Linked DNA regions of Mus musculus. The protein of the gene in region 1 interacts with the protein of each later gene in a pairwise test. Links are inferred from orthologs where the notes say so. Each region holds a gene or a part of one and is shown in the gene's direction. Other genes may lie near its edges. The genes, in order: Wasl, Nck2, Grb2, Rhoj, Rnf8, Arpc3 and Sdcbp.

Evidence for each region.
Region 2: the proteins of Wasl (region 1) and Nck2 interact in binary tests that used the Homo sapiens proteins (3 or more experiments, as listed by UniProt). The two-hybrid records come from large-scale screens. The link is inferred for Mus musculus from reciprocal best matches to the Homo sapiens genes WASL and NCK2.
Region 3: the proteins of Wasl (region 1) and Grb2 interact in binary tests that used the Homo sapiens proteins (3 or more experiments, as listed by UniProt). The link is inferred for Mus musculus from reciprocal best matches to the Homo sapiens genes WASL and GRB2.
Region 4: the proteins of Wasl (region 1) and Rhoj interact in binary tests that used the Homo sapiens proteins (3 or more experiments, as listed by UniProt). The two-hybrid records come from large-scale screens. The link is inferred for Mus musculus from reciprocal best matches to the Homo sapiens genes WASL and RHOJ.
Region 5: the proteins of Wasl (region 1) and Rnf8 interact in binary tests that used the Homo sapiens proteins (3 or more experiments, as listed by UniProt). The two-hybrid records come from large-scale screens. The link is inferred for Mus musculus from reciprocal best matches to the Homo sapiens genes WASL and RNF8.
Region 6: the proteins of Wasl (region 1) and Arpc3 interact in binary tests that used the Homo sapiens proteins (3 or more experiments, as listed by UniProt). The two-hybrid records come from large-scale screens. The link is inferred for Mus musculus from reciprocal best matches to the Homo sapiens genes WASL and ARPC3.
Region 7: the proteins of Wasl (region 1) and Sdcbp interact in binary tests that used the Homo sapiens proteins (3 or more experiments, as listed by UniProt). The two-hybrid records come from large-scale screens. The link is inferred for Mus musculus from reciprocal best matches to the Homo sapiens genes WASL and SDCBP.

What each region holds. Positions count from the first base shown.
Region 1 is NC_000072.6:24,623,303-24,627,199, reverse strand, and holds part of Wasl (neural Wiskott-Aldrich syndrome protein), read left to right. Parts: intron 1-337; coding exon 338-506; intron 507-2,103; coding exon 2,104-2,146; intron 2,147-2,810; coding exon 2,811-2,964; intron 2,965-3,897. UniProt on the Homo sapiens protein: Regulates actin polymerization by stimulating the actin-nucleating activity of the Arp2/3 complex. Involved in various processes, such as mitosis and cytokinesis, via its role in the regulation of actin polymerization.
Region 2 is NC_000067.6:43,444,153-43,448,755, forward strand, and holds the start of Nck2 (cytoplasmic protein NCK2), read left to right. Parts: upstream 1-1,598; 5' UTR 1,599-1,875; intron 1,876-4,603. UniProt on the Homo sapiens protein: Adapter protein which associates with tyrosine-phosphorylated growth factor receptors or their cellular substrates. Maintains low levels of EIF2S1 phosphorylation by promoting its dephosphorylation by PP1.
Region 3 is NC_000077.6:115,649,468-115,653,364, reverse strand, and holds part of Grb2 (growth factor receptor-bound protein 2), read left to right. Parts: intron 1-3,471; coding exon 3,472-3,594; intron 3,595-3,897. UniProt on the Homo sapiens protein: Non-enzymatic adapter protein that plays a pivotal role in precisely regulated signaling cascades from cell surface receptors to cellular responses, including signaling transduction and gene expression.
Region 4 is NC_000078.6:75,388,124-75,392,020, forward strand, and holds part of Rhoj (rho-related GTP-binding protein RhoJ), read left to right. Parts: intron 1-3,555; coding exon 3,556-3,720; intron 3,721-3,897.
Region 5 is NC_000083.6:29,628,056-29,631,952, forward strand, and holds part of Rnf8 (E3 ubiquitin-protein ligase RNF8), read left to right. Parts: intron 1-904; coding exon 905-967; intron 968-3,615; coding exon 3,616-3,705; intron 3,706-3,897. UniProt on the Homo sapiens protein: E3 ubiquitin-protein ligase that plays a key role in DNA damage signaling via 2 distinct roles: by mediating the 'Lys-63'-linked ubiquitination of histones H2A and H2AX and promoting the recruitment of DNA repair proteins at double-strand breaks (DSBs) sites, and by catalyzing 'Lys-48'-linked ubiquitination to remove target proteins from DNA damage sites.
Region 6 is NC_000071.6:122,390,279-122,394,783, forward strand, and holds the start of Arpc3 (actin-related protein 2/3 complex subunit 3), read left to right. Parts: upstream 1-1,599; 5' UTR 1,600-1,713; coding exon 1,714-1,719; intron 1,720-2,260; exon of another isoform or gene 2,261-3,033; intron 3,034-4,505. UniProt on the Homo sapiens protein: Component of the Arp2/3 complex, a multiprotein complex that mediates actin polymerization upon stimulation by nucleation-promoting factor (NPF).
Region 7 is NC_000070.6:6,382,528-6,386,424, forward strand, and holds part of Sdcbp (syntenin-1), read left to right. Parts: intron 1-2,498; coding exon 2,499-2,660; intron 2,661-3,897. UniProt on the Homo sapiens protein: Multifunctional adapter protein involved in diverse array of functions including trafficking of transmembrane proteins, neuro and immunomodulation, exosome biogenesis, and tumorigenesis.

The sequences.
Region 1 (3,897 bases):
AACTTTCATATATACTCTTGGGAAAAGATTAGAGGACTTAAGTCTGGCAATTTGGGGGGGAGTGTTAGCAAAAAAATTTTATAGCTTTTTAAATAAATTATAGGTAAATAGGTTGAAATATAGCTTTTCTGCTATATATATCATTTTATCAGAATTACAATAAAAAACAACAAAGGATCACTTTAGTTAAGTTTTATATATAGATCAGTGTACTTTATAAGATTTAATATTAAGTTGTAAGTAAGCAGCCATAGGTTAAGTAAGTTATAAGTTATGATTCCATAAAATTATTTTCATAAATTATATGCCTCTCATACCATTTTGACTCTCTTTGTAGGTCCCAATCTACCCATGGCTACAGTTGACATAAAAAATCCAGAAATCACAACAAATAGATTTTATGGTTCACAAGTCAACAACATCTCCCACACCAAAGAAAAGAAGAAAGGAAAAGCTAAAAAGAAGAGATTAACCAAGGCAGATATTGGAACACCAAGTAATTTCCAGTAAGACTCATCTTTTGTGTTCTCATCATTTAAAAAAAAAAAGTAAAAAAACTGATCTTGCTATACTGCCTAGGCTGGCCTTGTGTTTGGGATCCTCGGCCTCAGCTTTCAGAGCAGTATGTGGGATTACAGGTGTGCACTACTGCACCCAGCTTGATCTTCATTCTTTTTGTGTACTCTGGACTGCTCTGAATTTTTAGCTTCTTATACAATTTTGGTTTAAGAGGTTCTTGTTGTTTGGAGCTAAGATGAAAGGATGGGCTATCCGGAGACTACCCCACGTGGGGATCCATCCCATAATCAGCCACCAAACCCAGACACTATTGCATATGCCAGAAAGATTTTGCTGAAGGGACTCTGTTATAGCTGTCTCGTATGAGGCTATGCCAGTACCTGGCAAATACAGAAGTGGATGCTCACAGTCATCTATAAGATGGAACACAGGGCCCCCAATGGAGGAGCTAGAGAAAGCACCCAAGGAGCTAAAGGGGTCTGCAACCCTGTAGGTGGAACAACAATATGAACTAATCAGTAACCCCAGAGCTTGTGTCTCTAGCTGCATATGTAGCAGAAGATGGCCTAGTAGGCCATCACTGGGAAGAGAGAACCCTTGGTATTGCAAACTTTATATGCCCCAGTACAGGGGAATAACAGGGCCAAGAAGTGGGAGTGGGTGGGTAGGGGAGCAGGGTAGTAGAGGGAGAGTATAGGCAACTTTCAGGATAGCATTTGAAATGTATATAAAGAAAATATCTAATAAAAAAACGAGGTTCTTTGTTTTCTGTTGTTGTGGTAGAAGAGTCAACATAAAAACAACTTACAGGAGTAAGTTTATTTTGGTTTCTTTTCTAGAGAGGAGGTCAGCCATCGTGATGGAGAAGCTTGGCTATAGGAGTATGAGAGCCGCCTGGCATTGGGATGCAGAGAGAACAGGAAGTGGGGGTGGGCTATAAAACAGTCTGTCACCAGAGATACATGCTCCTAGCAAGGCTCTACCTCATAAAGGTTCTGCCACCTTCCCAATGACACCACCAGCTAGGAACAGAGTGTTCCAATACATGAACCTATGGGGAACATATATCCAAAATATGGGAACCATGTATATGTTCATCTGTTTTGGGAATTTGGTGGGGTTTTTGTGTTATTGTTGTTGTTTCTATTTTGCACAGAGAGAATGAATGGATTAGGAAAAAGTAAGAACTCCAAAGGAGCTGGCTTCCAGGGAAGAACACCCATGTGTAGTCCTTTCTAATGGTTGGAGACATCTTGAGACAGTTGTATCTTCTGGGTCACCCAAGCTGGCCTAGAATTCCAAGTCTGTAGGCATATGTATACAACAAGCCAGTCTTGTGTCATAAATCTGACAGTTTACTTTTCTATCTGAAAAAATTAGATGTAATTATTTTTTTATTTAATTCTTGAAAATAAAGGGATTTTTTTTCCACTTTGATGTATAATCAGCAGGAGGATACCTGTAAGACTTGTCTAGAAGCAAAAGAAATTGAGCTGTATGCAGCACATCTCAAGTATCTTTATGCATTATTTCACAAGCCCTTGTCTGCATTTGTTTTCTAATTTTATCTGTTTTCCATGTTAGGCACATTGGGCATGTTGGATGGGATCCAAATACAGGTTTTGATGTAAGTATCTTTTTAAGCTATATTTCCTATTGCTCAAAATATATAGGAATGCTATGGCTTATCTTGGACTTTTTTATTTACAGTTTTTAAAATATTGCTTATTAGAATTTGAATGTGCTATATGCTGCTGAGGTTTGAATTCATAGTATTGTTCTGTCATAGTTGCTAAGTCCTTTAAGGGAAAATTTTTGTATTCCTTCATTTTCTGCTTTGAATGCATAGAGAAAAAAGTGATTTTTCTTTTTTTTTTTTTAAGTAATGATCTCAGAAGAATATCAAATTTTGGAAAAATAAGTACAAATTCTTAGTATCTAGTTATAAAATAACCCAGTTTGTTTCTAAACTGAGATTAAACTTTGAGGTACTACCAAGGACCTCTGGGCACAGCAAAGAGGTGGAATAGATGAACACAAGAACTGGTATTGAGTGGGTTAATAAAAATATGAATAGAATGCCCTCTTTGACAGCGTGGAAGAGAGATGAAATACAATAGAAAATCTCTCATGTTTATCTTTCATAATAGAAAATTTAGTGTTAGCATTTAAATCACATAACCATTTTAAAAGTCTGAGTTTAATTTCAGAAGGACACAGGTAAATTATAAGTTTTGCCATGATTGTTTTGAACACAATTGCCTACTTAGAAGTTGTTTTATCTGTTGTAGCTAAATAATTTGGATCCAGAATTAAAGAATCTTTTTGATATGTGTGGGATCTCTGAGGCCCAGCTTAAAGACAGAGAAACATCAAAAGTTATTTATGACTTTATTGAAAAAACAGGAGGTGTAGAAGCTGTTAAAAACGAACTCCGAAGACAAGGTAACTTTGGATCTATTTTGACTGTTTTTCCTTTTAAATTTTCTAAGATTAGCATCATGGTGAACAACTATGCACCCCTCCTTGAGCAGAATCTTTGAATGTATGGATGACAAATTCAGTCCAGTGTCACTACATCTTTGCTTACTTTGGTATGACAAAAGCCTTGAGCCAGGCAAGGGACGACGATGACCTCTACCCAGCACCTGGGAGGAGGAGCAGGCATATTTCTGTGACTTTGAGGCCAGCCTGCTCTACATGGAGGGCTACCTAGATAACTGCATCATGAGACCTTGTCTTCAAACAGACCAAAGCATGATGTGATTATTAATGTAAAGGTTACCGTGTGATCTCTTATAAAACATTTCAGAATATAAATTATTTAAACTCTTTCTATTTTGAAATACAGATTTTCTTTTTTTCTTTTTTATATTTCAAGAACCTATTATACATTAAAAATGATTTTATCTTGTTTATATTTTATTTGTAATTATGTGTTTCTATATTGTGGGGGTAGGGAGTGGTTTTGCCTATACGTGCAATACTTGCAGAAGGAAGAAGAGGACATTGAATCCCTGAGAACCAGCATTTCATCAGTCAGTTGAAAGCTGTCCAACATTTTTTTCCTAAGAACAAAAAGATAAATTAATGATTTATTTTTTTTAGAGCGAGCACATACATAAATTAGTATTCAAAGGTATGAAAACAGAATAGAGAGATTAATAAAATTTGTCTTAACCTACTTAATTAGTAAATCTTTTTTCATTTATTTTATAAAATCATAAAATTAGATTTATAAAGACACGCAAATTTGTGATTTCCATCATATCCCTGTGTGTAGCTCCTTAAGTATTAAGTCCATTAACTTATAACAATCTGTTCTTCAGGTCCACCACAGTGGAGTGGTATGTATGTGGAACAGTGTGTGGACCACTA
Region 2 (4,603 bases), on another chromosome or scaffold:
ACAATTCCAGTGGCTTGGTCCACTGTCATCACGGTGGGAAGCTTGGTAGCAGCCAGGCATGTTGCTAGGGAAGTAGCTGAGAGCTATACTCTGATCCACTGTGCAGCAAGCACACAGACACCCAGACACACAGGTGCTGGCTAAGTTCAAAGCTTACTCCCAGTGACTCATCTCCTCCAACAAGGACATACCCTCCTAATCTAAATAGTTTACTAACTGGCCTGCAAATATATGAGCCAAGGGGAGTCCTTCTTGTTCAAATCTCCCTGGAGATCTTATACAGAATCAGTGAGAGGAGTCTGAGGCCACTTTTCAAAGCAAAAGCTTAAAAACTGTGTCCATATCGTCTTACTTATTTAGCATAAACTAATTTTAAGTAGGGCTAAACTATTGGTTAGAGTTCTGCCTTCATTGTTGTAAAGCTAGATAGTAACAAAGATGAGGTCTGTAACAAAGAACGGATGAAGCTAGCATCTCCGACTGGAAGAGACTGTTGGGTGTGCTGATTTTGTACAGGATGCCTCCTAGTGCCCTCGTGTCAGGCTACGTGCCAGGTACTTAACATAGAAGGCAGGTAAACATCTCATGTGATAAAGCCGAGGAAGTTGTGAAACACCTGTGTAAGGTGACACAGTTCAGGAGCCTACGGTCAATGGCTGCGAGGACTATAGCCAAGCTTCCTCACGTTACTTATGCCTGGGAACTTCCTATAAGAAGGCAGGCAACTTTTCTTTCTTTCTTTTTCTTTTTTTGTTACGTAGGGTGAATTGTTTCTGCCTTAATAAGGAGGAAACAAGGGCTAGGGTTGAATCTCATTAACATAAATGTGAGTCGTCCGACCTGAAAGCGGAATTTATTTGAATATCAGGGGTTCCTTTGGGGTATAAGGAGCGAAGGAGCTTGGAGAAGAAACCTCTGGATCCAGTCCTTCTCTTCGATCCAGGGTTCTAGCTTTCCAAGTTTGCTTATAGGTTAGCTACTACTCAAGTCTGGGAGAGCAAGGTTTCCTTCTAAAGCTTTCTCAGCCTCCTGTACTAAAGAATTCCTGGGCTCTAATAAACTGGCCAGGACGCTGCGGAGGCAGCTGAGGTCGGGTTTCCTCTCCTCCCCCACTAGGAAGTGGTCCCGCCTGGAGGTTGGGGGTGGGGGGGATGGAGTAAAAAAGTGTCTGGATGGGAAAGTAAATAAATGCAAGGCAAATAAATAAAGAAAATGCCCACAAGCAATTACTGGGAGGAAGTGACATTTTTATGTAAGTCACTTTTCTGACAGACACCAGGCCTGTTTGGCTGAGAGTGCCGTGGGAATGCTTGGGGGGCGGGGTAGGGAGGTCGCTGTAAGGCTCCCGACGCACAGCCGGGTGCGGAGACCACCCGGTCTCGTGGGCTGCAAGTGGCACCTCCTTATCCCTAGCAGCCCCTCCCGGGTGCCCCCAGCTCCAATCTAGAGCGGGTTACGGCTTGAAGCCCCCAGGCGGCGCTTTCCCGAGGCCTGGCTGGGACTCCCAGGTGGGTCCCCCGCCCCGCGTGCGCCGGGCTGGGCCGGCCCCTGGGCGGCGTCACGGCAGCCAGGGAGGAGCGCGGGCGGGGAGCGCGCGGAGGCGGGCGCTGCGCGGGAGGGTCGCCGCCGCGGATCGCAGGCCGGTGCGCGCGGCCGAGCGGGCGGCGGCGGCGACGGTGGTGGTGAGGAGGGCTCGGCGGCAGGCAGGCTCGGGGCTCCCGGGCCGGCGGGGTCCGCCGGGTCCAATTGCGTCCGCTTGGTGGCGGGAGGAGGGAGCGGTGCAGACAAAGAGCGGCATCTGGGCGGGCGCAGCGCGGCCGCCGCCCCGGGACTCGCGCTGCTGCCCTCCGGCCTCGGCGTGCACTGTGCGGCGAGGTAAGGCGATGGCGGGGGCTGCAAACTTGGGCCGGTCCGTGGAGTTGGAAGAGAGGGGCGAGCGGGCCGCGGCCGCCCGGGGAGGGCCAGGGAGCGCGTACCCCTGCGTACCCGGCCGGTGCCCTCAGCCCCGCCGCGGCCTGGCGTCCCCGGGCACCCGCACCTCGGATACACACACCTTCCTGCGAGCCCTCGCCTCCCTCTGCCTGGGGCTGGCGTGGGGGTGGGGCGCCCTCCGCGGGCGGACTCCGGGGACCAAGGACCCAAAGCCCTCGGGAACACTAGCAGCCCTGGCCTGTGGGCGGGCGTGGGACCGAACAGTGGCCAGGTCGCCGGGCGCGCGTGCCTGGGAAGAATAGCCTGGGATCTGAGGGCCACAGCGCTAGGAAGCGGGAGGCTGCGATGGCCGGGGAGAACTTCCAGTATTTAGAACTATTCGTGATCCGGCACAAAGCTGCTGTCACGTTCCATAAAGGAGGTCCTTGCCTCGGCGCAGGGCGCTTTTGTGCCTGGTTCCTTCCAGTCCCTGCGCCCGGTCCCGCATTTCCAAGACTTAAACCTCCTCAACCAAAGTTTTTCCCGGTTGCTCTGCCCCCTCAGTTTATTTATTCAGGGCGATTTAAGCAAGTGGTTCTGCAAGAATTTGATGTGTGACTTTTAATGCCCCGGTGGCACCTCCCTTTTGAGCGCTGTTAGCTTGGCATTGTGTGGAGAGGTTTGATTTGCAAAACGCTGTTATTTATACACAACAGCGATCCTCCCGGAAGGTGTGCGCGGGTGGTGGTTAATGGATAGCAGAGGTGACTTACAGTAGTATTGTGAACAGCTTGGGGACACAGCTGGGTGCCAAGTGGAGTGGGCCCTGCCACCCTAACCCATTCAGGTTGGCCGCTTCCTCCTTATTTGGCTCTCCTTATTTTGCTAACAGGTTTAAGGCCAGTCTTGCCAAGTTTGCGTCTGTGTGTGGGATGAACAGGTCCGAGTTTGGGCTGGAGGTGCACAGGCCTGCTCCTTGGTTGACCCAAAAAGAAACAGCCCGTTGGCCAGTGGGCGTGGCTTGCTGGTATCCTCCCCTGGAGACTTCTCTGCTCCTCTCCCAATACAGGCTTTTCTGCAGAGATTTTGAGGAGGAATGAGAATAATTTTGGGTGTGTTTCCAGCCTGGGTTTTTTTTTTTTTTTTTTTTTTTGGTATAGTTAGCAACTGTGGTTTTTCTAGTCTAAAGGTCACTACTTTATCAGAACATCTCAACTGTGCTGTGGGCACTCCCTCCATTCACTTTCCAAGTGTTTATAGATACAGAGGTAGAAACCGGACTTTCTCGTGCATGTGCCTGGTTTATGTAGCGAAGGCAGCCAGTGAACACAATGGAGAAAGTGCACTTTAGACAGATAAGGTTTTACACCTTCGGGTCTTTCCTAAGTGACCACAAGTGACAATCCTCCCTTAAACTTTCTCACCTCCTGGTAGGTTAGCGTAGTTTTGATTGAAGAACGTAAAGGTCCCAGTGACCTGAAGCTGAAATGAGAACTTTGTGCAGCTGTAAAGCTTTGACTTACAGCTTACTGCCTGTCTTGCTCTCAGTTTCTTACACGTGCTTGAACAGAGCCCCAGTTTCAGGGTTGGAAGTTGCTATGTGAGCTCTGGACACTTGATAGGCGATTTGCCCACCGATGGAGAGACGACTGACCCCCTTTAAAATGGGTCGAACTTATAAAAGGTGGTTTCCAACTCCTTGTAGGCTCTTCAGTCCATTTCCAGGCTTTCAGTTTTGCTTTCCCCATGGGTCCTTGCTTCAGTCTTCTTCCTCCCTTTCTCTTTGATCCGGGCTTATTCCTGACCTCTGTCTTGAACATTGGGGTACTGAACATTGCTGACAAACAGCAGCACCCAGGTGTTTGAGAAATGTGCTCTCATCCTTGCTAAATCTCTCCAGAGCTTTCCTTGTTGGAGCAGACCGAATGACCCCTTGAAAACAGCCCGATAGTCACTGATTGCATAGTGACCTGTAGTCCTTTATTTGATCATTTGCATTAGCTTAATTTGCCCTGGCAAGACTGGGCTTGGTTGCTTTGTAGGGCACACATGCTTCTAACTGACTGGCTTGCAGTGTGCACTGGGGCTGATGAGGCTCGTGGAAATGATTTTCTGATGTTCATAATGAGCCTTAATGACTGAAGAATTCAAGACTGCTTGTTGCAAGTGCAGAGCAGTGTAGGGAACAGTGGTTGGGGAAACTTGTAAGCTAACATTTCTTACAAAAGGACCGGGAAGCTTCCCATAGAGACTTAGGAAATTCATTTTCCCATCCAGAGGGACTTCAAATGTTGCTTTGGAATTGTTTCTCTTTCCTAAAAAAATGAGTGATAGAAACATTTCTCAAGGTGTTTTCAAAGGACATATGTGAAAAAACAATGATGCCATTTGTGTGCTGTTCTGTGTAAGTTAGGCAGCCTTTTAAAACAAGCTATCAGAGGTATGCAGCCATGGTGTTTTTTGTTTTTTTTTTGTTTGTTTGTTTGTTTGTTTGTTTTTTCGAGACAGGGTTTCTCTGTGTAGCCCTGGCTGTCCTGGAACTCACTTTGTAGACCAGGCTGGCCTCGAACTCAGAAATCCGCCTGCCTCTGCCTCCCGAGTGCTGGGATTAAAGCCGTGCAACACCACGCCCCGCAATGCATTTCTTTAGGCAATCAGAGTAGTGTAATTTTTAAAAAGACTTTTAATTTTC
Region 3 (3,897 bases), on another chromosome or scaffold:
CAGCACACACCAATCCAGTCTTTTTTAAAGATTAGCAGAACATTTGTCTGTAGGCATGCAGTCATACATAACTATCATCATTGAAAGAAACCCGACATGCTCTGAGTATAGCTCAGTCAGTGTTCAGGGACTCGCCCAGTGTGCACAAGGCCTTGGCATCTGCCTCTAGCACTGCAGACCAGGTTTTAGAAGCTTATCAGGTTTGTAACTAGCCTGTGAAAGAGTATCGACGACCGGATGCTATCTGCTGTTCATCCCACTGCTGGAAACTCGAGACTGTATACTTAGTGAGCCTGGAGCATACACACAGACACAGATCTGTGAAATGGCTTACAAACTAATGTTTTTGTTCTATTTTAGTTTTTGAAGTATGGCTTCACTATATAACCCAGACAGGCCTTGAAGTTACAGTAATCCTCCTGCCTCTTCCTTCTCAGTGCTAGAATTATAGGTATAAATCTAAAATTAAATTTTTAAAATTTTAAGCTGAAAATAAAATTGTGTTGATTCTTAAGTTGGGAATGAGAAAGCACTGGGGCTCACACAAATGTCGGGTTGATGCCCATAAAGAAAGCCTAGATGCACACACTGCCTGCAGCCAGCAACTCCTGATGAAAGGCAGGGGCATGAGAGAAAGTGCTGCTCTTTATTCTTCCTTAGTGTGCATTTAGGCTACTTTAATTTAAACCCACTGCTTTATAGCTTTAAAGAAAAGAGGGTGAATATGGTCAGAAAGCATTATATGAAATTCTCAAAAGAGTAATTGTTTAAAAAGTATGTACTGAGCCGGGCGTGGTGGCGCACACCTTTAATCCCAGCACTCGGGAGGCAGAGGCAGGCGGATTTCTGAGTTCGAGGCCAGCCTGGTCTACAAAGTGAGTTCCAGGACATCTAGGGCTACACAGAGAAACCCTGTCTTGAAAAAACAAAAACAAAACAAAACAAAAAGTATGTACTGGGCTGGAGAAATGGCTCAGCAGGTGAGAGCACCGACTGCTCTTCCAGAGGTCCTGAGTTCAAACCCCAGCAACCACATGGTGGCTCACAACCATCTGCAATGGTATCCAATTCCCTTTTCTGGTGTGTCTGAAGACAGCTACAGTGTACTCATATACCTGAAATAAATAAATAAAGCATGTGATTGGTGATCGGGGAAGGGAGAGGAAGATGGGTGCTGAGAACATTTGCCCTTCCCTGGTGAGTGTGGAGGTGAGGGAGCTGTCACTGGGGATCAGCCTATGGCCATGACTAGATGCTGCTGGACCATCCATAGAGTGAGCGAAGCTTCTCTGGTCTCTTTTGAGGTGATTCCGTCTGTTGGTAGGGAATTTCCCTGGTGTGGCTGCTCCCTGGGCACTGTAGGCTTCATTCTTAAGCATCTGTAGCAACAGGAAGGTGTCTCCATGGTGTGTGTGGCATCAGAGATGCAGAGTGAGAAGGATTTGAAACCTAGACTTGGGAGTGTTTAGACTCCCGCAGTCTCTGGGCACCCTGCCCTGCAGCTTCATGTCTTTGCCTGAATCTTAGTTTTAATCTGGCAGAATTTTTTTTTAAAAATACTTTGCAGGGTAGTTGTTTATTAAGCCAGCTGTGAGCTCTGCCTGTGGCAAATGCCTATAATTCTCAGGTCTTGGTAGGCCGTTGTTGACCAGACATAAAACCCTGATTCAAAGCAGACACCAGCCTTGGTGGCTTCCTCTTACATTTTCACCTCTCAGATAGCTAAGCAGGAGTGTGGGATTCCGAGGCAGCCATATTGGTGCACAGACTTGTAGGATGGCATGGGCTGCCATATGAGGGCTGCCTCAGAACAGCTTAACAGACCCCAGTAGGGCTACACAGATGTTCAGCAAGCAAGGCACTTGTCACACAAGCCAGGTGACCTGGATTTCATCCCTGGAATTCACAAAAGGCTGTCAGAACAGAATGACACCCCCCACCCCCCAGGGTTGTCTTCTAACCCCCATGTGGATACACGGTGGCTTTAGAAAATGAAAAGATGATTATAAAGTTAGCTTTAGGTGGCAGTAATAACAAATAACCATGAAAACATTATTATTTTATGTATATAGGTGTTTTACCTATGTGTATGTCTCTTTGTCACAGGCCTTCAGAGGCCAGAATTGGGCATCATTCTCTCCGGGAACTGGACTTGTAGGTGGTTGTGAGCTGGTATGTGGGTGCTGGGAACTGAACCCATGTCCTTGGGGCGAAAAGCCAGGACTCGTAAGTGCTGAGCTGTTCCTCTAGCTTGAAATAAAAAATTGTAAATATGATTATGAAAGTTATGTTCTTGGTGAGCATACACGAGGCCTGAGGTTCAGCACCCAGCACCACATAAAACCAGGCATGGTGGGATACACCTATGGCATAATAGCTGTAATGAAATGAGGCTTTGTCACTAATAGACAGTCTGGTACTGTTGTGATTAGTTATCATTGCATGTTTAAATTTTTCAGATACCAGGGCTGGCGAGATGGCTCAGTGGGTAGGAGCACTTACTGCTCTTCTGAAGGTCCTGAGTTCAAATCTCAACAACCACATGGTGGCTCATAACCACCCATAATGTTAGGAGTGGCATGTCTGAAGACAGCTACAGTATACTTATGTATAATAAGCAGGAGCAAGGACTGAGCAAGTGGAGTTGACTGGAGTGAGTGGGGGCAACCGGGGTGGGCAGAGGTCCTAAAAAAATTCAATTCCAAACAACCACATGAAGGCTCACAACCATCTGTTCAGCTTCAGTGTACTATATACATAAAATAAATAATAATTTAAAAAAATTTTTTTTCAGATACCATAAGGTAATGGGCTTTGGTTTTTCGAGACAGTCCCACTGTGTAGTTCTAGCTGTCCTGAAACTATGTAGACCAGGCTGACCTGGAACCAAAGAGATCACCTTTGTCTGCCTTCTGGGTGCTGGGATAAAGGCGTGCATCACTGCCACAACCTAGACTCTAATTCCTCACAATGCAAGCCTCCCTTCTTGCTTTTGCAGAATCCACCCTTCTACAGCTGCGAAGTTGTAGGCCTTCCCAGCCTTTCCCTGCACTCCTATTATGAAATGGCTTTGAAAGGCCTGTCTTCCCTCTGCCCTTATCTTGGGTGTCAGGGCTTTCCTAGGTCCCTCCTGATGAGTGAGAGGCAGGAGGGCTTTGTCCTCAGAAACTGGCTTTCAGACTGCATGTTGGGAATGGTCTCCTTGGAGACTGAAGAGTGGCCTGTGTTGCTGCCTTGAATTATGATCTAGAGTGTGGAGTAAGCGAAGCTGTTTGAAAGCTCCATCTCTCAGGAAGGCCCTGAGCCAGGTAAGAGCCCCAGGGAGCCTTAGGCAGGAGACCCGCAGGTAAAGAGCTCCCCTCTGTCTCTGACAAGCACTCACTACAGGAGCGCTCTCATTTACATGCCAGGTTGTACATCCCGTCTCTTTGTGGGGAAGCAGATGGTGACCAGCTTGCCTTCCTTCCTTAGGTGGTTTTTTGGCAAAATCCCCAGAGCCAAGGCAGAAGAAATGCTCAGCAAACAGCGGCATGACGGGGCCTTCCTGATCCGAGAGAGCGAGAGCGCTCCTGGGGACTTCTCCCTGTCCGTCAAGTAAGTGTTTCCTGCTGGCCTTGCCAGAGAAGCTGCTGCCTTTGACTGGATTGTAAGGCTGTGGGGAAGATGTTAACACATCTTTTCCTGTGGAAATCCTAGTGTTTGCTCTAAGGCCTAGTTGTAGCAGATCTGAGGTTTTAGGTTTGAAGTGTCATGAACCTGGGGGAGCTGGCAGCACTCGAGGCGGCTTAGCCCCACTCCTCACCCGCCCTGCCTTCACTGCAGTTTCTGCTGCACTTACGGTGACCACGTGCGCATCTCCACTCCTGGTGTTCACCTGGACCCAACTCATGCTTCCCA
Region 4 (3,897 bases), on another chromosome or scaffold:
ATTCTACTCCCAGCCTCTTGGAGCGTGAAGCACCGGGCAGAACTCCGCGCTGCTTTCCTTACAACACAGACAGCAGGTCCTGGGCGCTTACCAGACATGCGCATTCTAGGCTTCGCACCAGACTCGTAGCTGAGGATGAGTTCCCAGGGATCCGAACTCAAGGGGAGCTAATGGCTTCATGGCTCCAGCACTGTCCCTTTGTGATGAACCTGCTCAAGAACATCTTTCGGGCCCTGGGAATTGACCAGTCTGTCCCACCTCTGTGCAAAGGGAAAACAGATACTCAAAAACCTACATGGCCCCTAATTCCTACCTACCCTACCTTAGCCCAAGTCCTCTTGTGTCCATCCTGGCCCTCCAAAGCACTATCTAGTGGTTTTTATGAGTTAACACACCATCTCTTCAGAAAACACCCAGGCACCGGTTACTCAGAGATGCAGTAGAAGGGTCCTCAGTGCCAAAAGGACCACTTAGCCCTTCCTCGCGGCTGATCGCACCATCTTCACACGTAACATAATCTACACTCCAAGTGTACTTCGCCACAAAACTCATTCAAGCCACCAGCAGGTATGGATTCAACCTCTTGACGTCACCAAGTTCTTTTTTATTAATTCTGCTTCTGCCATACTTCCTAGCCTCAGCCAACAACCAAGGGTGGCAAGCTCCCACCTGCCAGGCATAAACCTTCGTGGAAAGTAACTTTTCCTCTACCATCCTGTTGTTGGATGTTTGATTCTGAGAGCTGCAAGGTTGACGGCAGGAAGAAGGGAGTATGATAACCTGAGACCCTGAAACTGTTTTAGGCTGACTGGGGCATGTGGGGCTTGGATTCCCCAGGAACTTAAGCCTTAGATTTCTGAGACTCTAATGAGCTCTCAAGAGATACCTGTGCTGCTGGTCTGAGGACCATCCTTTGGAAGTTAGTGTAAGAATTCGGATGTAGAGGATCGCCTGGACTTGACATCGGAATTTTCCAGTTCGGTCAGATAAAAATACTCTGCCTTACCAGAGCAACTAAAGGGGGCAGAAGCCTCGGTTCCCATCCGTGGAACTGATATGTGTCTTTTCATTCTCATTCCCTGACTTGATTCCCGGTTCTTAACCTTTATACAGTTCCCGCAGCATCCTTGACAGAGCCACACGTCCAGTAAGTAATCAGTTCTTTTAAACAGACTGACACAGCAGAACTAAGTCCTACAGCAAAGAAATCTAGACTCCGGAGCACAGTGAAGCCCAGAAGCTGAAACCACCAGAAATCCCTGCAGAGGGGACCTGAGCAAATGAACACACCTCACCTCCCCGACTCTATCTTCTAAGCAGCATTTATTCAATGGCTAGCAAATCAAGGAGAAAATAAACACTATCAGTCAGACCACCAGTTATCAGCTCTTCCCTTGCCTGGCTAATCCAGGCTAATCGATTGTTTTGGTTTGGTTGTTGGGGATAGAGGGAGCAGAAGCATTGAGATTTTAAATATACAGTGTCTGCTGCCATCTTGTGGCAACTCGGGGCCAATGCACTTTGTAAAAAAGAATGCATCCCCGCAGTAATAGATTCCTAGATAGCCAATTAAAAAAAAAAAAATCTTAATCTGCCGTCTAAAGTCCCGAGACATGGCGATTACAGTCCCAAACAAAAGTCAGGTCAGGATGCACACATATCTCGATATTCAATAACTCAAGGTTGCATTGGTCCATTACGGACATCTCTACTTTGACCTCCTCTTCTGTGAAATGAAGGCTGAGGGTGCCATCTGTCTAGTGCTCCTGCGCGAACTCCAGGAGATAATACAGTCACTTCTTGTAATAACACCTGGTCCTTGGTAACGATCCCCAGACTCGAGCTCTGGTGGTGAAGATGACGGTGCTAAGCACAAATCAGCTGTCTCCGCTCCAGGCTCCACCCGACCAATCAGTACAGGATTCTTCTACGTCCAGTGCCCCAGAGATTCTGATTTTCTTGGAGGAGGAGGAGCTGCAGAAGCTGCTCGCTTAGAGGTCACTGTAAACCGCACGTTTTAAATTGTTTTAATTTTATTTTATTATTTTATTTGCATGGGTGTTTGTCTACAGGCTTGTCTGTGCAGTACTTAAATGTCTATGCCCCTGGTGTGCAGAAGAGGGCCCTGGAGTTACAGACCTTTGTGAGCTGTCATGTAGGTTTCTGGCCATCAAACCTGGGTCCTCTGGAAGAACAACCTAAACACTCAATAAGCCATCTTTCATCATCCCACATTCCTAAATCCCTAAATCCCACATTTTACGGTGAGTTGTCCTTTCTCATAAAATTAATTGCTGTGGACAGGGTATAGATAGAGGATGAGAAAAACCAATCAAACTGGCCCCGGATCCATTTGTGATGATCTGAGTGGAAAGACAAAATGGCAGAGTAACAAGTGATGTCTGAGATCCCGTCACTCGTGGATCTTAGCACGTGTAACGATTTTCTAAAAGTTCTCCATGCGGCCCTGAAGAAAGCCACCGAAGTCAAAGCCCACAGAAAAGCCGAGGGCTCATCGACAGGCTCGGTCTTGCAAGGTTTCCCTGTAATCACATGATCTTGGAATGGCTCAGAGGTCAGTGTTCCACAACACATACCCATATGTATAATGTATGTATTAACATGTCTAACTGTGTGATGTATGTAGCGTATGGACACATATATAAGAGGAAATGTTTAAGCACACATTACTATTATTTCTATTGGTTATGTGTTACTAAATTCTATTAAAATATAGAACGATTATTTATTGAATGTCCTAAAACTCCTTGGCCACTAAACACCTGGCATTTAACTTGACCACACTGTGGCACTGGGGTACATTAAGGAACAAGTCCCAAACATATTTCTTCAACAGAGGTAATCTCATTTGGCAACAATACTTGTTTTGTACTTTAGCTTACTCTCTGTGTTCAATTTAAAAACAATGTTTAATTGTTGAAGATATTCGTGGGCCAATGACCCACTAATTTAAATACATGTTCCAGACAATGCAACACCAGTGTCCCGGGAGACCTTTATCCCTCCTTGTACTGTCTACGTGGGGGAGTTTCTGAAGACACAGAAGCACAGTAGACAGGTTGTTGCTGGAGGGGCAGGAAGTGGGGAGATATCGGTCAAAGCACAAAGTTACCATTAGGCAGGAATGATAAATTCTAGAAGCTACCATTCACATACAGCTGGAAGGAAGGTGTGGTTATGTAATGGTTATGTGTTGGGAGGCGATTTTATGTGTTTTCATCGTTAAAAATCAATAACTCTGTGAGGAGATGGATTTGCTAACTCCCCCTATCTGTGGTGTAACAAAACATGATGGCTAGACCTTAAACTAATATACAGATAATTATAAAGGAGTGGGTAGACATTATGATGTAAAATTTGTATGTATAAATTTTACCCCAATCAAGCTGGTTGAGTCTTTTTAAGTTGATTGGAAATGGGCAATGTGTGATGAGCACAGCCGCTGCTACTGTGGTCTTTCCCTGCAAGAGTCCCAAGAACCACACAGAGGCTCTGCAAGCAACCTGCGCTAACGCTCCTCTGTTCTTCCCACAGGAGGATTACAACCAGCTGCGGCCACTCTCTTACCCCAACACAGATGTGTTTCTCATCTGCTTCTCTGTCGTAAACCCAGCCTCTTACCACAACGTTCAGGAGGAGTGGGTCCCGGAACTGAAGGACTGCATGCCTCATGTGCCTTATGTGCTCATCGGAACCCAGGTTGAAATGAGGGTGATGGAAGGGTGGGAGAGGGTGACCGAAGGTGTGAAAGAAAGGAGAACCCTGTATTCTATCAAACACCAGGACAGATGCTCAGACATATCGCATCGGTGAGGAGAAGTTCTGAAGGTGCGCAATTATATTTAATAGGAAGGAGAAAGTTTTGATCTGGCCTTT
Region 5 (3,897 bases), on another chromosome or scaffold:
TGATATAGGTGCCTAAGGGCATGCTTGGCGGCTGTGCATAGCTCCTGCTCCCCTTGTTCAGCCCAGACCACTGTAAATTAACAGAGGGTGGGACTCTCTGTTTAGGGTGTCACACCATCACTGAGCAGAATTCTCTTTAAAGGATAGTGGGTTCAGAGAGGAGAGTGACTGGGATTAATATCCATGGCTACTCTGTGCTGAAGGGACAACTGCGAAGTCTTTCCTGGGACTCAAGGTTAAAGGCAGAAGAGACTGGTTGAGATGCATGCCTGACGCTGCGTGGGAGCTCAGCTCCCTCTGCCCTCACGGTAGCCTGGCCTGACATTGGGTTTGGAATTCTGCTTGGTATTAAAAACCCAACTTTTTTTAATCATTAAGTAATTTGTGCTCCCTATTAGCACATTGGAAGAATGGTTGGCTGGCACATCAAATTCCAAATGAGTTGAAATCCCCCACCCTGTAGGTAATCCCTAAGAACAGAGACTGCCTGAAAGAAGCTGGCGGAAAGGCAGCGGAGGCTCAGGCCTGGGCAGAGAGTGCTTGGAGAGGGTGGGTGGTGCAGAGGGACAAGACAGGGAAGGAGTGTGGGGCCAGCCTTGGGGATGTATCTGAGTTTGGGTGTTTGTGGCTCTGTTCTCAGACTCCATTTATTTGAGTATTATGGCAATAAAAGCAACTTAGACTGTCACCCCGTGGTGCTTCAGAGCTGCCGGAAGCCCACTCCTGAGGCGGGTGATGGTAGTGGAGCAGATAACTGCTCGCATCCCTTGCTGAGAGCAGTTTGAAGTAAACTGGGATCTTCCTGCCCGCTTCCTGCCCCATGTTCCTTGTGGTGCCGGCTCCTAGGTTTTGTTATCTTACACCCTTGACTGCAGAAACCTTCCATTTCGTTTTGGCTTTTCAGGGTTTGGAGAAAGAGCAAGGAGAGTGCGACCTGAAGCAACAGCTGGTGCAGGCCCTGCAGGAGGTAACATAATCTCTACCCTTTCCTTCCAGAGGCTGTGGTGGTTGTGAGTGGGGAGCAGCTAGGCACCACATGGCCACTAGCTGCCTCTGCCTCTGAGCCACTCATCTGTGTTACCGCCAGGCTGCAGACAGAACAGGTGCCAGGTGCTCACACCATCAGGCTGGAGATTTGGAGCTTCACAGATACACAGCAGATCTCAGCGTGGAAGCTTACGGCTTCATCAAGGCACCACCTGGTGATGACAGAAGAGCCTGTAGACGCTCTCTGGGATGGGGACTCTACTTCCAGATTAGTGAGGGCAGCAGTTAGCCATGCCTGGGCCTTAGGGCCCGAGAGAGCCTGTGTACCTCACCATTCCTACACTGTGGCATCCAGAAATCATTCAAGAGGATTCTCCTCTTAAAAAAAAAAAACCCATTAACAGAATAGTGCTTGCTCCTTCTGGTGTGAAGCTCTCCAGCAGACTGCCAGTGGTTTATTTCACTGAACCCTAGTGTTGGGGCCGGCCAGCAGCTCACGTGTCCGGGTTCGAGCCTGAAAGGCATCTTGGAATCTGGAAGAAAAGAGGGAGCCTAGGCGGATTGAGAAATAATGGAACCAAGACAACTATTCTGCTCAAATTTGAACTAGGTTCAAATTTTTAATGGTGGACAAGCTTTATAAAAGACTGGGGAAAGTCCATTCCCGCCAATTCATCCTTGGAGCCTGGAACCAGCTGCAGGTGATGATGTGAGGGATAGGGCGTAGTCTAATAGCTGCGGGGCCTCTCAGCTGGTAGCAGTATCTTGAAGAGGAACAGCGACTGTGGCTCAACAGTCGAGTGATCTAGGGAGGAAGGCTCCACCCTAGATAATCTCCCTAATGGCTGCAAGGTCAGGTTCTGGCTCAGCCTGCTTCAGGTTTATGGGAGGCTACATCCTAGGGCTTGACAGCCTTTTATGTGCTCCTTATACCTTTAAATCTTCCTTCAGCTGGTTATGGAAGCACACACCTTTAACCTCAGTACTCGGAGGCAGAGGCAGGTACATCTCTTGAGTTCAAGGCCAGCCAGGTCTACATAGTGAGACCCTGACTCAAAAAACAACAAAAACTTGCTTCATCTCTGAGCTTTGTGATCAGTAATTTGGTGGATTTTCGGCCGAAAGGTTAGTGAGATGGTTAAAGTCTCATTGAGCACAGTGAGCGGCTTACATATAATTTGTTCAGGGTTCTCTCTGTTTGCTCATTACAGACCTGTCAGCCTTATCGGTACTAACAGTTATGTGAGAGGGAACCTGCCTAGATTTGCTTGTGGGCAGATGCATAAATGGCTTCAGAAATAATTAGGTGAAAATTCTATTTGGATTTTATTTATTTATTTATTTATTTATTTATTATATGCAAGTACACTGTAGCTGTCCTCAGACACTCCTGAAGAGGGAGTCAGATCTCGTTACGAGATGGTTGTGAGCCACCATGTGGTTGCTGGGATTTGAACTCCTGACCTTTGGAAGAGCAGTCGGGTGCTCTTACCCACTGAGCCATCTCACCAGCCCTGGATTTTATTTTTTAAACTTATCTACTTCATGGGTTGAAAGGATAGGCATTGTTCCCATTTGAGTATTTAAATATATGTTTATTTTACTGTCTGTGTGTGTGTGTGTGTGTGTGTGTGTACAAGCATTCACATGGCACTGGAGACTTGGTTGCCAGCACTCAGACAGCTTACAGCCCCTTTAACTCCAGCTTCCGGAGACTGGATACGGTTTTCTTCCTCCCAGGTCGTGTGAACACAGATGGCTTATACTCATACACACACAGTAAATAAAGACATTGTGTGTGACCACGGGTGCTTGTGTACCACAGTATGTGTGACGGGAGCTTTGGGGAGTGGGTTTCCCCCTTCTCCATATGGACTCCAGAAGTCAAACTCAGGTCTGCAGGCTGCACTGCAAACACCTTTACCCAATGAGCCAGCACACTGGCTTCCTAGTGGGTTTTTTTTGTTTTGTTTTTTTCTAGACAGGGTTTCTCTGTGGAGCCCTGGCTATCCTGGAACTCACTTTGTAGACCAGGCTGACCTCGAACTCAGAAATCCGCCTGTCTCTGCCTCTCAAGTGCTGGGATTAAAGGCATGTGCCAACACTGCCCAGCGCTTTCTAGTGTTTTTAAACTACTGCTTAGATGCTTTGAAACTGGCCAGAAAGTCAGGCTTTGCCCCTCTGTGAGGAAGGCCTGGGGTTTTGTGCTCCCTTGTAGCACACCGCACCTGTCTCGAGGCTTGGTCATGCAGTCACGCATCAGTCTGAAGTGGTATCGGGCATACTTTCTGACCTTGTCTGACATCGTGCTTGTGCTGGTGTGGATGACCCCTCTGAAGATACTCTCTTTTTCAGACTGCTAGAACTGTAGAACCCATAGTCACAGTGACACCACTGCTGGCTCTTGGGCGTGCCAGCTCGTAGACGACAGTGGCTGGTCTAATCGATCTGCTGTCCCCTCTCCCCTGTCCTGAGCCGTCCATCCTGAATAAAAGAAGGCTGGTTTTGAAATTGTCATCACTGGTCCCTAAAGTAAAGCGACCGAGCAGAGGGAGGAAGCAAAGGTGTATGGCTAACAAGAGGGTTGGGACGCAGCTCATCCTGATGGCTTACCTGCTCTTTCTGTAGCATCAGGCTCTAATGGAAGAACTAAATTGCAGCAAGAAGGACTTTGAGAAAATCATTCAAGCCAAGAACAAAGAATTGGAGCAGACCAAGGTACGGGATGGAGGACAGAGTGCAGTGCCTGTGGCCCAGCATTCTGTAGAGTGCGTGGTTGCTGTGGTGAATGCAGACGGTGTTCCTTACCTCTGGGAGATAATCTATAGTTACTCACTGTGAGGCAGCATCCCTGTCCTTCTTTGGACCCTGCATGCTAGCCTTTGTCTAGGGCGGAGTCTCCATTCGAAG
Region 6 (4,505 bases), on another chromosome or scaffold:
TCTCTGGACTCCCATTAACAGGTTCCCAGGCATGGTGGCGCACACCTTTAATCCCAGCATTCAGGAGGCAGAGGCAGGCAAATTTATTGAGTTCGAGGCCAGCCTGGTCTACAGAGTGAGTTCCAGGACAGCCAGGGCTACACAGAGAAACCCTGTCTCCAAAACCCAAGAAAGAGAACATGTCTAATGTTAGTTCTAAATACTTTTCTTGTAGCTCATTTCAGCCTCCCTAAGCAATGAGGTAAATACTGAGGCCTCTATATTTAGGTGAGGAACAGAGGCACAGAGAGGTACATTAAGTTGCTCAGAATAACACAGCTAGTCATGTTGGAACTAGGATTCAACCCCAGGACCTGGCTCCTCAGCAGTCATACAAAGAACAGGGAGTATAAGCCAGACATTGTAGAGACCAGCCTGGGCTACATAGTTAATACCTTGTCCAAAAACAAAAAGTGGTTGGCTGGGTATGGTGGTTACATATCCCCTCAGTCTCAGTACTTGGGAGGCAAGGCAGGTGGATCTCAAGAGTTCAAGGCCAGCCTGGTCTACAAAGCAAGTTTCAGACTAGCCAGGGCTACCCAGAGAGGCAAAATACATACTTACATACATATATGATGGGTGTCAGTGGTGGGTTTGTAGTCATCCCCTCAGACATGTGGCATCACTCAGGCCCTTATAATATGCTTGGTTTTCATGACCACTTAGTCCTTGCCATGATCTGGGAAGACATACACCATACCTTGTTGAAAGAGTAGAAATGATATACACATTTAGTGGGTGACAGACAGGTCAAAGGGGTAGGCTCAGGACTTTTCTTTCCTTTACCCCTGTGGTGGTCCCTGACTGTCTTAACATGACAAGGAAGATAGACACCACCGTCGGCATCATAAAACTAAGCAAGAAAAATAAATAAAAATAACAGGAGTGATGGGCACATATCTGTAATTCCTGAACACAAGTGGGTGCAGATCAGTTCATATTCATTTATATGTATATGCCAGCCTGGACTTCATGCGACTCTTAGCAAAGAAAAAATTGAAAAATAAAAAATATTGGCCGCCAAGACGGCTCAGGGTGTAGGTGTTTCTGAAGACTGTGTTGGTTCCGAGAGTATCACGGTGGAAAGTGAGAACTGATGTCCCCCACCTTGCATTGTGGTAAAAGTACAAAACTAAGCCAGGTGTGGTGGCGCACGCCTTTAATCCCGGCACTCGGGAGGCAGAGGCAGGCGGATTTCTGAGTTAGAGGCCAGCCTGGTCTACAGAGTGAGTTCCAGGACAGCCAGGGCTACACAGAGAAACCCTGTCTCGAAAAACCAAAAAAAAAAAAAAAAAAGTAAAAAACTAGACATAGCAGAAGGGTAAATCAGGCGACTGAGTGGTACTGGATTTGAAGCTGAAGCCGGGAAATGAGAAAAAAAACCCAAAAAACAAAACCGGGAGCTGATTATTAACCACTTGCGAGGGAGTCTTCAATTTCAAAATCCAGCCTTTTATTCTGAACGTGCTTTATGCATGCGCCACGGTCATCGCCTCACGCTGACGCGCCCCCTGGCGTCACTTGCGGTCAGCGCAGCCGGAGCAAGTCACCGGAAGTGCGTTTATTCCTTCCGCCCGCCTCTTCCGGCTTACTTCCGCCCACTCCACCCAGGCTCGGTCGTCGGAAACGCTTTCTGAGTTCGGCTTCTCTGGATCGAATCCGGACACCGTCAAGATGCCGGTAAGCATTCGAGCCCCAGGGGCGGGGAGCCGAGCGGGGCGAGGGTCCGAGGGGTGGCAGGAGATCTGTGTCATAAGGCCGGGGAGAGAGGAAGCGTCCGCCCTGATCTCCAGCCTTTGCCTCCAACACCGGCTCGCCTGCCCCGCCGCTTCCCCCCTAACCCTGCCGTGTTCCCAGATCCCACCCTAGAGCCTCGAACCTAAGAACGATGGCTGGCTTTTAATTTATTTTTAAGTCTAAGGTCCAGCTTCTCCTTTTTTTTTTTTTTTTTTTTAAATTTCCCCCTTGTCATTTCCACTTCCTCCTCCACCCCAGGGAGTGGGATCGGCCTGCTACCTAGTCACCTGTCAGACCTCACTTCCCTGATGGACCCCTTCCTCCGTCTCCCTGCTCTGACTCCCACCCGACTCCCTGACCACCACCGAGCCAGCGCTGGTTTCCTTTTTCGTGTGCATCCGAGTGGGAGGAAATTGATGCCGATTGCAGCTTAGCGAAGGGACGCTTGAATAGCGTGCACCCACACTGAACCAGTGTTACTGACCTCTCGCTGTGAAGCCAGCATTGTTGACAGCAGCGACTAAGGGCCACTCAAGGAGCTCACAGTTTAACGGGTAGACAGTAACCATGCAAATGCACATAGGAAGTAGTTTCCTATCTTAACAACTGCTGTGACGAAAACAGATAGATGGCAGTTAGCCTACCCCTATCGCTCAGTTATCGCTCATCCCAATACCGAGGCAGGAGGATGGCAAAGTTCAGGCCAATGTGGACTATGTAGTGAGTTCTAGGCCATCCTGGGCTACAGAACTGCAAAGCCTGTCTCCCAAGAAATGGGGGAAGAAAAAAAAAAAAAAAGAGGCTTGCATGCAGGAGGTGGGGTCACAAGGTACAGCAGCTCATGCCTGTGACCCCAGCTCTGGGGAGGCAAAGGACAGGCAGATCTTCTGGCTTATTGGCCAGCCAGCCCAGCCAAAAATAAGCAAGTTCTGGGTTCAATGAAAGACGATGTCACAGGAAATAAATATATATATAGAGAGAGATAGTAGGGGCTGAGGAGGTGTCTCAGTGGTACAAATGAGAGGACCTGAGTCTGGATGCTTAGCACCCAAGTAAAACAGAAGGGGCGGGGGGAGGGCATGCAAAGCGTGTCTGCAGTTTCGGAGCTGGGGATGTGTAGAGTTCCCTGAGGCTCCTTGTCTCAAAAATAAAGTGGAAAGCAGTTAAGAAACAGACCTATGGCCTCCACCTGTGGATATGAGCATACATACCTACATGCACACATATGCACACACGTGAACATGAACACTACACACACACACACACACACACACACACACATGTACACATGCATGGTCATGTGCAAAATAAAACTAAAAACAAAAACCAGTACCTGGTGACAGGGATTGGGAGAACAGGGGACCCGGGGATGTGGGCAAGAGGCTGGCATAAATAAGGCTTATTTATAATGAGTAGGAGAGCAAGCCTAACTTTGAACAGTGTGCATGTGTTTGAGTAGCAGTGGGGAATTGACCCCAGGGCCTCATGGCATGCTACATAGATGCTCTACCACTGAGCAGTATTCCCCCATCTTTTTTACTTTTGAAAAGGGGTCTTATAAAATTGCCCAGACTGGCCTTGTAGTTGTGATCCTCCTGCCTCAGCCTCCTAGGTAGCCAGGATGACAAGCCCGTCCGGCATCACCGTGTTTGGCTTTGGAAGATTCATGATTCCTATAGTTAGTATATGTGAAGACCCAGAGTTACTGTCCAAATGAGCCCCCGCATCTCCGGATGACACTGTCTTCCAGAGGTCTTGAGTTCAGTTACTAGCACCCACAGGGCAATTTACTACCTATAATCGGATCTGATGCCCTCTTCTAGTATGTAGGCATACAGTTTTCTAAAAATGATGTGGCATGAAAGTTTTTAGTAGGTGGGGCAGATTTATAGAATATTGGCTTTTGAAGGGTTGTTTACCATTAATGGAGGGAAATTCCCAGCATTCTCAAACTACCCTTTAAGAGCACTGGAGTTTTGTCCCCAGCATCCACATCCAGCAGGTGCCAGCTGCCTATAAGTCCAGCTCCAGGGACCCCAGCACCATCTGCTGGACTCTGTGGGTACTGCATACACACAGAAATACCCGTCCACAGATATAGTGCACACACATAATATATTTTTTGTTTTGTTTTGTTTTTGTTTTTTTGAGACAGGGTTTCTCTGTGTAGCCCTGGCTGTCCAGGAACTCACTCTGTAGACCAGGCTGGCCTCGAACTCAGAAATCCACCTGCCTCTGCCTCCGAGTGCTGGGATTAAAGGCATGCGCCACCACGCCCGGCTATAAGATATTTTTTAATCTTTAAAAAAAAAATCACGCTGAGCAGTTGGTAGCATGCACATTTAATCTCAGCACTTGGGAGGCAGAGGCAGGCAGATTTCTGAGTTCGAAATCATAGGACCAGCATTTGAGATTGTTCATCCACACAGTTCCCTCTCCTTTAGCTCATACGCACTCACCAAAGGTGTGGTGTATCTTGCTCATTTATAAGTTTAGAAGCAGACTGGTGGGAACTGGAGTAGAGTTGAGTTGGTAGAGCATTCGCCTGTCATGTCTGAAGCACTAGGTTTACTCGCCAGTACTGTGGTTATCTAGATCCATCATCCCAGCAATGGGAGACAGAGGCAGGAGCGTAAGAAGTTCAAAGTCATCGTCCCCTGTGAAGTAAGTGAGAGGCCAGCCTGGGCTAACCTGCATAGTAAGTGAGAGGCCAGCCTGGGCTAACCTGC
Region 7 (3,897 bases), on another chromosome or scaffold:
AGCGGCTAGGCAAGTTGTAAGACGTGGCTCAGTGGCTACAGTGCTTGCTGCTATGCCAGAAGACAGCCCCAGAGGATATGACATCTTCAGGCATCCACAGAAGTGGCAAATACAGACATATAGATGAATTATATAAAAATAAATCTTAAAAAATTTAAAGTAAAAAATGTAAAGTCAACCAACAGTAAAGTAAAAAGAGGCATGGAGAAAACAAAAATGCTAGTTGCTATGTTTATAGAAAATTTATCTTCTAACAAAGAAAAAAAGCCAATTATAGCTATTATTTCAGTGTATCTGACTTCCTTTGCCCAGGTCTGTATACTTTGATCCCTTTATGTGAGCATCATACAAGTGTCCCCTCCCCATTTGTACATTTCTTGCTTTGAAGGTAATCTGAAGTTACTTTAGAAGTATCTGCATTTATAAGGCTCTGTGGTATACTCTGTTCTTATTCTATCGTTTTGTTTACTTAATTTGTTCTGCACATTTCTCTTAGCATATATTTCACTTAGTACATAATTCACTTCACATACCGTGTAGTTTTTGCTTTTGTGTTCCACTTAGTTTTTCCCCCCAGCTTTATACAGAAGGTATACAGCTTTATACAGCTTTATACAGAAGGTATACTGTACCAGTGAGTTTGGGCTACACCGCTCTGTGCTCTTGTTGGGTTGCATGCTTCCAGCCACACACCCAGGAACTCTTTGGATTCAGGGATGGAACACACACACACACACACACACACACACACACACCCCTCAGTTAATTTTAAAATATCTTGGCTACGTTAAAGGCTGGGTACTCCTAAACCTTCCCCTAGACCTTCCCCTGCGTTTTTCAGCACTTTTGTCTTTTTTGATAGATAATACTTGCTGAGGGGTCTGTTTAAATCCAACATAAATTCAACTTGACTCAAGCACCAGGTTAATGTAGGTGACAAAATTTATTGCAATCAAGCCACTACTGATTGAGTAGCCTGAAAGGATGTTGTAGGGCATATTTAAAGGAAGAAAGCGTAAAGCAGAAGTGCGGCGGGCTGTACCATTGCTCAATCATATTTTGACATAAAGGCTTAGCAAGGGAGTTTTCACCAATTGGAGGAGGTTCTTGGGTCTGTGAACATGAACTTGGTTTGACCCCACCAGCAACATGGAGCAGTTGTCCTGGAGATGTCTGGACGCTTTCAGCTGCTTCCTTTTAATGGAGGCTGTTCAGCTATCGGGAAGTCCCCAGCTCCCCTAGGGTCTGGGACCTGAATTTTGTTTTTCCCTATGATTAAATGGAGTCTGACAATGAAGTGGTAGTACTTGGAGTCAGTCTTGTGCTTGTTCCCAGCACACTGACACACGGGGTGGTGATGTCATCTCTCTGGCTGTGATTCTCTAATGATAAATGATCTGTCACCCACCCACCCTCTTGTTATCTTTGGGAAAAGCTTGTATGTAGGCATTTTGCCCATTTTTAAATTGAGTGTGCTGTTTTTGCTGTTGAGTTTTGAGTTATTTATGCATTTGGATATTTGCCACTTACTACATGATGATTTTCAAATAACTTCTCCCATTCCATGGGCTGCTTTCAGTTTGGTGAATGCTGCTTTTGTTGTGAAGAACTTTTTTGTTTGTTTTGAGATAGGTTTTGAGGCTGTTCTCAAACGACCCACCTCTGGGCCCCACCCCGGCTGTGAAGGATCTCATTAAGTCGGATGTAGCTCTCCTTACATACAAAGGTCATTGAGAGATTTGTCTTGCGTTTTCTCCTAGTTTTATGTGCAGATCTCCACAGTTATGGCTTTGGGAGTCCATTTGGAGCTGACTTACCTTCTGTATGAGATCAGCCACAGTTCTACTGCCCTGCTCTTGGTGCCTCGGTTTTCCTAATCCCAATGTGTACACACGGAGATTTTTGTCAAGAGCAGTTTAATATGTTTTTATGTTGTCTTTTTATTTCATTCCTGACTTAAAGCCTTGTTCATATTAACTTATTTTTAAATTGATAATTTTATGATTATATCACAGAAAATCCCTGAAAAAAGAAAGTTGCAAAAGTCTAGTGTGACGTTTAAGTTCTAGGAAAATATGTTTGAAATCAAGGCAAACTGCAGTGTAGTTGTTGGCGACAGAATATCTTCTGAGAAATGATTCATGCTTGCTTTCCCTGCTGCACCAGCTTCATGGAAGTGCACTTACCCAGTCTAAGGTCGCATGACCTCGTTGGGCAATGCAGTCTTTTGAGACAGCTGGTGTCACTTATGTGGTTGCTAGCTGATGCAGTTCAGCAGCAGATCCCATACACAGGGGTACCAGTTGACTTAAGTAACAAGTCACTGAGTTTTCTCTATCCAAGGGTAATGGGGGAAAGAAAACCACTGGCATTATTGTGGGAATCAGACTTCACTAGAGGGAATTTGTTAATGGAGCAATATTTATAAGAACTGTAACTGAGTGTGTTCCAGTTAATTGCTGTGTTTCTAAATACTGTCAAATTTGTATTTTTCTTAGCAGTTGGTAGCAAGACCATCCAGTGTGAACTATATGGTAGCACCTGTGACAGGTAACGATGCTGGAATTCGGAGAGCAGAAATTAAGCAAGGGATCCGTGAAGTTATTTTGTGTAAGGATCAAGATGGAAAAATTGGGCTCAGACTTAAGTCAATAGATAATGTAAGTATATTTTTGAATTTATCTAAATAGATCACAGAATATTAGTGTCAAATCATTAAAATGAAAATAGTTTGGCTAGCTGTAATAACCCATCTACAGTGGGGAATAATAGTGTGAATCCAGAGTTTTCACTTGGAGACACCGGCTAGACGAAGCCATGCTGGAACTTGCAGGCAGACACCAAGCTTTTCTCTTGATCCTCCTTACTGCAAGGATGCCATTTGCTTATAGAACCATGTGGAAGAGTGTGTGTGATCAGACTCGGGCCCTCACATGAGCCAGCATGTGGGAAAGTAAAGGGAAATGGACCAGTGAGAATTGGGGGTACACTTTTAAACTAAGTGATAATCATTTATGAGATGGTTCTGCAAGTTATCTCTGTCCATAAACTTTGAACTTAAATTATGAACAGGTCTTAGTGATTGAGTCTGTGAATCCCTCCCTTGTCACACTAAAGACATGAAACCAGTTCCTCAGACAACATCCTAAAAGGTTAACGACGTGCTGGGTCTTTACCTCAATTTATCATTTTCTTTTCTCTTCTTTTCTTTTTCTTCCTCCTCCTCCTCTTTCTCCTCCTCCTCCTCTTTCTCCTCCTCTTCTCCCTCCTCCTTCTCCTCTTCCTCCTCCACCATTATCTTACTGGATTCTCTTTCAGTCTAATAAATGTTCCTTAGCTCAGTGATTCCAGCTTTCCACATAGAAAATAAGTATTACATTATTTAACTGAATGAGGCTGACGAAGGCAGGAAAAGCCAACACTGCCTTTCCACTCAAAAAGCTGAGGGCATGATTGTGTGTTGAAGACACATTATAAAGTCCTGACCTCACTGACGCTCGAGTGCAGTGTATTTCAGCAGAGATGCCTTGGAGTCTGTTAGCACCATTCTAGTTTACCTGCTTGGCAGAAGTCAGTGGGATGCTGCCTGTTCATAGTGCTTCATGTCTGGTCCACCATAGACTGTAGGAAAGGTTTCCCTAGCCTTCCTCTTTTCTATTTGTGCTTGGTTCAAAACCTGATTGAATTTACATAAATGTGAATATCCTGTGAGTTTATTGTTAGAGGTACTTCTTGTTTGTTTGTTTGTTTGTTTAGCCCCAATTTCATCGGTTAAGAGGTGAATAAAGTTGTCTTTGACTTAAAAAATTATGGAATTGTTACCCCAAAGTATCACTTAATTGTTTTTATAATTTATTTGTTTCTGTTGAGTGTTGGCTTGCGTATATATCTGTGTAG